Linked DNA regions of Elephas maximus indicus. The protein of the gene in region 2 interacts with the protein of the main gene of each other region in a pairwise test. Links are inferred from orthologs where the notes say so. Each region holds a gene or a part of one and is shown on either strand. Other genes may lie near its edges.

The links.
Region 1: the proteins of SEC22A (region 2) and STX4 interact in binary tests that used the Homo sapiens proteins (3 or more experiments, as listed by UniProt). The two-hybrid records come from large-scale screens. The link is inferred for Elephas maximus indicus from reciprocal best matches to the Homo sapiens genes SEC22A and STX4.

What each region holds. Positions count from the first base shown.
Region 1 is NC_064830.1:90,287,261-90,291,008, forward strand, and holds the start of STX4 (syntaxin-4), read left to right. Parts: upstream 1-1,058; 5' UTR 1,059-1,298; coding exon 1,299-1,328; intron 1,329-1,515; coding exon 1,516-1,617; intron 1,618-1,733; coding exon 1,734-1,833; intron 1,834-1,970; coding exon 1,971-2,045; intron 2,046-2,561; coding exon 2,562-2,632; intron 2,633-3,748. UniProt on the Homo sapiens protein: Plasma membrane t-SNARE that mediates docking of transport vesicles. Necessary for the translocation of SLC2A4 from intracellular vesicles to the plasma membrane.
Region 2 is NC_064819.1:14,018,980-14,022,727, forward strand, and holds the start of SEC22A (vesicle-trafficking protein SEC22a), read left to right. Parts: upstream 1-1,128; 5' UTR 1,129-1,197; exon of another isoform or gene 1,198-1,625; intron 1,626-3,748. UniProt on the Homo sapiens protein: May be involved in vesicle transport between the ER and the Golgi complex.

The DNA of each region.
Region 1 (3,748 bases), on a different chromosome or scaffold from region 2:
GCTAAAATTCTGTCAACAAATATTTATTGAGGGCCCATTCTGTTCTGGGTACTGAACCAGACTATGGGGATTCAGTTAAGGACAAGCCAGTCATGCCCCCTCCCTCCCCCCGGCCTCAAGAACTCACAGTCCACTGTAATGTTGAATGTGGGCATTTTCCTGTGGACTCCAGAGTAGAACCAGGTGGAAGGCGGGGGTGGGGGTGTAAGTGGCAGGGAAGGGAACGGTTCGATATAACGCAGACACTTTCCTCAGCCTGAGCTGCCCCGAAATGGCCTTGCTGCTTGGAAGGTGATGAGTGCAGCGGGACTGCAGTGTTCAAGCAGGGCGGCTGACCGCCCACCTGTCAGAGGCTGTGCCAGGAGTATGCGGGAGAGAAGATTCTGCTTTGGGTGAGGTCACTTTCCACCCCCAGATTCTCTGCCTACAAAGCCCTGCAATTCTCTAACGCTAAAAACTCAGATCTTATTATTCTCTGACTTTCAAGGTCCCATGATACTGACAGCTCCAAACTCTAAGTCAGCCTCTGCCCACGCCCCTGAACCCAAAAGAAATAAGAGAAATTCAGCAAGGGTCCTACCACCCACTGCCTCAAAAGGCCTCTCTGGTGGTACTCAGCGTCGCCCCCCAACTCTTGGGGGCTGTAGGGGTGTAGCTCGGTCGCGGGAGAGCCGGGGACATCGTGGGGAGGAGGGTGTCCCAGAAAAGGAGTTCATAGAGCCGGTACACGTGACACTGAAAACATCAAGTTCTGCGGTCCGCGGGGCTGAGATGGGGCCGGTCACATGACGCAGGGGGCCACCATGGGGTGATGTGAGACGAGGGGCCTCTCATATGACGTCCAAATGACGCATTCCCACCCCTTTTGGCAACTAGATTTCCGTTGGAAGATGAGACTGTTCCCGTAAAGGGACCGGGTTCTCACATCCTTGAAGTTTTGCTTCCGTTCGGGGCGCCACAGCTTCCGACTTCCTCCTCTCCCTGGGGCAAGGGAGAGACGCGTCCTTGTGCGCATGCCCCGAATCTTCCCAGCGGGGGCGGGGCTGAGGCTACGGGAGCTGGTAGGGGGGGAAGAAGAGGGAATACCAACCTGTGGAATCGGGGGGGTATCCGAGGCTGGCTCCTTCCCATTGGCTGTGGACCGTGCAAGGGACAGAGCCTCTGGCGGCTCGTGGAGGTGTTGGGGTCCGCAGGGTGAGGGAGGGGAGCGTCAGAGTGTGAGTGGGGAAGGGAGTTCCAAACTTAGATCCTTGAGGCCCTCGGGGCTCAGGCGCGGGGGAGAGGGAGCTCGGGCCGTCATGCGGGACAGGACCCACGAGCTGAGGCAGGTGAGGAGTCGGTGCAGCAGGGTTGGGAGCGGACAAACGGGGTGGATTTGGCTGGAATGCGGGACTTCTGGTCCTCGGGGCAGGGAAGGGTGGCTGATGGCAGGGAAGGAAAGACCCGGAAGCCCGTCGGTTCCGTGGGGCGAGAGCAGTAGCAAGAAAGTAGTGCCAATGACCCCGGCTCTGGCAGGGAGATGACAGCTCGGACGATGAAGACAAGGAGCGGGTCGCGCTTATGATGCACCCGGGCACGGCCTGGCTGGGGGACCCGGACGATGAGTTCTTCCAGCAGGTAAGGGGCTGCGGTCTTGGCCTAGATTTGCGAGGGGACGGGGCTGGAGAAAATGAAGAGCAGTGCGGCCTGGAGTACCCCGTGTCTCCTTTAGCTTTCGCTGTCACCCTCCCCAGGTCAGGACAATTCGGCAAACTATTGTCGAGCTGGAGAATAAAGTCCGGGAGTTGGAGAAGCAGCAGGTTACCATCCTGGCCACGCCCCTTCCCGAGGACAGTGAGTGAAACCCCGGGTGCAGAGCGCATGCTCAGTCCTAGGGGTTGTGGGGGTTGTAGTTCCATGCAGGTGGTGGCCGGGGTGGTTGGTTGAGGTAGGAACTGTTGTTTTGGGAGTTATGGTCATCTCTTGTTCAGGCATGAAGCAGGACCTGCAGAACCTGCGCGAGGAGATCAAACAGCTGGGGAGGGAAATCCGCACACAGCTGAAGGGTGAGCTCCTAGAACTTCAGATATATCCTTTCTTCTGATCCTACCTACCTGCTGGTACATCTGGGGAGTGTGGAATGTGTGGCCCAGAGAGGCTGGTGGTATATCCAGGTCACACAGTAGGCCTCTAAAACCTTGGTCTTCCAGTGTCCAGTCCAGCACACTTTCCACAGCAAACGCCTGATTTTTTCCTGTACTTTTATTTACAATGAAACCATTGACTCCTACAATTCCTCCTGCCCAGTGTGCATTCTTTGTGCAAGCAGATGGGGGTTTTATTAGGAGACCTCTGCATACCTGTGGGAATTGACTGATGCATTGTAAACCAAAAATACACTTTCTACTCTTAGAGGCTTAGAATTAATCATTTTACGCTAAATTGTATTTCCCTTAAAAAGTCTGTGGATGCAAACACCTTCCTGTTGTGTGGCTGGGGGTTGGCCCTCGCTCTGTGTCCTCATCCTCAGTCTTCAGAAGCCACAGGTCAACCCCTGCCCTTACCCTGGTGTCTTCCCACAGCAATAGAGCCCCAGAAGGAGGAAGCTGATGATAATTATAACTCAGTCAACATGAGGATGAGAAAAACCCAGGTAGGTTTCTTGTTCTGAGAACTAGGACATTCCAGCAAGTGTTTCATAGATCATTAGATGGCAGAAGTGAAAACAAAGGGCCCTTAGAGATCAAGTCCAACCTGATAATTTTCCAAATGAGGAAACTGAGGCTCAGAGAGAGAAAGGGTTCACCCAAGGTCAAGAACCCAGGTCTTCTGATTCCCAATCCATTTTAACAGTTGCTGAGTCCCCAGATATGTCCTAGGCTCAGCTGTGGGAGATATACTTTCCTGAGGTGGGGAGTTACAGGTTGAGTAGGACTTGATGACTAATGGTGCTCTGCCCAAGGAAGGAGAGGGAGAAGTCAAATGACTAGGGGTTTCCAGCCCACATGACAAGGACAAACTTGAATTTGGGAAGTCAGGAAGAGGAACTGCCCTGAGGGAAAGGTCACTGAATCAACATCTTAGTTAGGAGCTTCGAGGTGATCTGATGGGCCCCTTCTGGGTGTCCAGTGAGGACTGGTTGGGGTTGTTGGAGGTCATGGTTACAGTAGGTGAGCCCAGAGCTCAGCAAAGACCTCAGATCAAAGAAGGAGAGGTTTGGGCATCTTGAGAGCAGATGTGCCTCTGAAGAAGGAATGCAAGGAATGAACGCATTTCAGACATTGGGGGAAGACAAGGCAGGACAAAGAAGCCTCACAGAAGTCCAGAGAGGGTATTTCAGCAGGAGCCATGGTGGATATTTTTGTGAGAGGCAGAGGGCCTAGACAGACCTGTAAATCTGTACGTCAGGCTGACTGCCAGGAGTCCTGGCACACCTGTAGGCTCTAAGGAGAGAGGCCAGCAGTCAGCAAACATTCAACAACTATTTATTGAGTGCCTACTGACTTTTCTTGTTGTTTGGGTTGCAAAACAGTGAACCAAACAAAGATCCCCACTCTCATAGAGCTTACATTCTGGTGGGAACAGACAATCACCACAGTAAACATTAAATTATTTTAGAACATTGTAAGTATTAAAGAAAAAAAACAAAATAGAGCAGGAGAAGGATTGAAAGTGCTGGGAGAAGGTAGGGTTGCAATTTAAAGGTGGAGAAGGCCTCATTCAGAAGACGACATTTGAACAAATACTTAAAAGTCTTTGTGGGGAATCA
Region 2 (3,748 bases):
TCAATTTGGTTAGGGCATGATTCCCAGTATTGTATGGTTGTCCTCCATTTTGTGATTGTAATTTTATGCTAAAGAGGATTAGAGTGGGATTGTAACACACTTACTAAGGTCACATCCTTGATTCAACGTAAAGGGAGTTTCTTTGGAGTGTAGCCTGCAGCACCTTTTATCTTACAAGAGATAAAAGGAAAGGGAAGCAAGCAGAGAACGGGGACCTTATACCACCAAGAAAGCAGTGTTGTGAGTGGGGTGTGTCTTTGGGACCCTCACACAGAGCAGCTCCTAGTCCAGGGGAAGACTGATGACAAGGAGCTTCCACCAGAGCTGACAGAGAGAAAGCCTTCCTCTGGAGATGACACCCTAAATTTGGACTTCTAGCCTACTAAAAAAAGCTGTGCTAAAATAAATTTCTCTTTGTTAAAGCCATCCACCCGTGGTATTTCTGTTATAGCAGAACTAGATGACTAAGACACCTTGTGAAGTCAAAGGAGGTCAGACACCACCTCCATACCGTTTTTACAGCTGCTCACAATTTAAAGTCATGTACCAGTTTATATTTTAATGTTTGTTGTTCCTATTACACCTTAAGTTCCGTTGTGTTATGTTCACTCCTGTAACCCAATGTGTAACACGGTGCATAGCACATGGTCAACGCTCAGTAAATATTTGCTTAATAACGCATGGCTGATGCGAAGGCTAGAAGCCTCTGGCACTTCTCTGGGTTAGGTTCCTTGCGGGTGATGGTAGATGGAGACAGGCATTTTCCTCGCTCACCCACAGGGCGCTTTTCCCTTTCCCCCTTTTTTTACGGGGCAGGGTAAGTGTTTGCTGCAGGGCTGTGTGTGAGAGACAGACTGCCTGTAGACCAGGGGCGGCAGGCAGGGGGAATTAGCCGTATTTCTGTGGGACAACGTAGTTTTGTCACAGAACTAAGCGCTCTTCTGGCGCAGGTGCGAGGGACGCTGCCAATCTCCCCTGGAGGGGGCGGGACTAACGCGAGCCCCGGGTGAGGGCGGGTCAGTGTGTCCTTCTCACAGAACCTGATTGGTCTGTGGGAGCCGGGGAAGCGGGGGCGGGGCTTGATTCCGTCGGGCGCCAGCCACGTTGGACGCGGTGCGGCCCCGAGGAAAGGCCGCTCCCTGGCCCACAATGCACTGCGGGAGGCGTCACTCGGAGCGGCGGGTGCTGGCTCGGCAGGTACGGCCCGGCCCCTCCCAGTCTTTCCTGGGCTCCTCGAGGCCGTTCGGACCCGGGGCTGGCCTCTTCCCGTGCGCTCCCCGTCTCCCGCCCAGCCTCGGCCCTAGCCCAGGCTCTGGGGACTTCGAACCTACTCCGGGACAGAAACCGAGCCTGAGCCGTGGGGGCGGGAGCCGGCTGTCGTTGGAGCCGCGGAGCTCTGGAGGGGCGGGCATGCGGGGACCCTGTCTCCTCCTCCGGCTTTAGGGGTCCGTGATCCGCGAGGGCGGCGCTTGCCCCTCGGCTGACCTGCCTCAGGGGGGGTGCTCGAGGGGCGAGGAACAGTCGCCTGGGCTGCCCGCCCGAATGACAAGAGTACGGTGATCCACCTGGCTGCTGAGTTGGACCGAGAGAGCTCGAGGTGGCATTTCCTATTTCTGTTAGGCAGGGTGAGATCTGAATCAGTTACTTTGCGTTTTGTGGGATTGAATGAGCATTGAGCCCAGAAATTAGCCCGCTTTGGCTCGGGGAAACCTCTGGAGGTATTGAGCCAGGAGGCCTAGTTAGTGGCACTTTAGGAACTAAGTGGCGGAAGGGAGACCTGAGCAATTGGTTCGACAGGTGGAGGTGGATTCCGGAAGAGGAGGCCGAGCCCGAGCCGGCTTGAGTCTCTGACAGTGAAAACAGCTTTGGATTTTTCTCCTGCACCTCAGTTTCCTGCTCATTCACCTGGAACCGTAGGTGTGGAGAGACCGAGAACCAGACCCTCCTGTATCTGTTCAGCCAAACAAAACCCAGCTCAGGGCTAAAGTTCCAGCCACCAGCCGACAGGTGGAACTAGCCACTTAAAAAAAAAAAAAAATCTCTGGATCACATTCCGAGTTACTTCTCGTCATTTCTTTACGGTTGATATTGCAGGGAATTAGGTAGTACCTTAAACACTAGCTACAATTCCTGGCATGTGAAGGTCGTTGTTCAGTATTTGAATCAGACACTTGTGACCATGCCCTAAGTTAATGGGCCATCTGGTATTTCCTACATTGAGAAACATCAAATCAATGTAGTTCTTTTTGGGGGATGTGTCACTGATTAAAACAAACAACTAAGTATATTTTACTTTGTTGTGTGAAAGAAGCCCAGGTCCTATCAAAGGGATGACTGACCTTCCTTTCTATGTATTTAAGTGAGAATCTTGGATTTGTCGAGGGGCATTGTCTCAGGGTGATTAGAATTAGGCCTGAGTTTAAATCCCTACTGTGTTACTTACTAGTTTGGGGATTGAACAAGTTACTAAACTTCTCTGGGCTTAATTTCCTCAAAGTAAAACGGAGCTAATAATACTGACCTCCTAGGTTATTGGAAGGCTTAAATGAAGCAATGTGTGTAAAGTATTTGGTCCATAGAAGGTAATCAATAAAAAGAATAAAAAACCTCATTGTCGAGAAGATTCCGACTCATAGCGACCCTAGAGCAAATATTTAACATAGCACTTAGAGTCTGCAAGGCATTGCTTTCAGGTGCTTTACGTTTAATCTTTAACATAACCCTATGAGGTAGATACTATTAATAGCCACAGTTTACAGGCGAGGAAATTGAGGTCTAGAAAGGCAAATTAGCTTGACCGTGGTTACCTAGCTAGTACATGGTGGAACCAAGACTTGAACTCAGGCGGTTGGCTCCTGAGTCCATCCTCTTAACTACTACACTGTACTACTACCTCTTAAAAAAAATGTAAGCTGTCATTCTGTTAGTTCAAAATGAGTAGCTAGATAGTTTCTGTACCAGTGGATTCTTGACCCTTGTTGGTGTTGGGGGACTGATATAGCAACGTGATGTAGGAATACAAGGAACTTAGGTTTAAGTACCAGTTCTGCCATATATTAGCAGTGTGACAGTGAGAAAGTGAACCTCCATTTCCTCATCTGTAAAATGGAGCTTCTGCCTACCTCACTGTTTAGAATTCTGAGGTGCTACACCTATGTTGGGGATTGACACATTTGATCATCATCTAGCTGAAATGGACAGGTGAGGATTAATTTAGTCTCTGAGGTAGAATACCTTTGAAAAAAATCATGAAATTTTAATCAGAATTTTGGATTTTCACAGGTTGCCCCTACTGCTAGTGAAGGAGAAGCATCTAGTGGCATTGAGTTTGATGGCCTGGTGGAGAAGAGTTATCATTTAATTTCAGACCATGGGCATTATTTTAATTCAGTGTTCTTCAAAGTATGGCCCTTAGACAATAAACATTGTAATCACGGAGGGAATTTGTTAAAATTGAAGATTCCCAAGCCCCACTCCACAGTCAATGAATCAGATTTTGGGGGGGGTGGGCCCAGCAATCTATATTTCTAACCAAATGTCAGCATTTCTTATATGAACTAACATTTGAGAACTACTGTGTATTTTATCAAGTTTCACTCTACCTGCCTGATTGGTTTCAGACCTAGACCTGTGTAGTTTCTTAATCTGTTTTAGTTTCTTAATCTGTTTTAGTAAAGCCTGACCAGAATTCAATAAAAGAGGCCATTATGATTTATTTTCTGGTAAATCGATTGAGAACAATATTAAA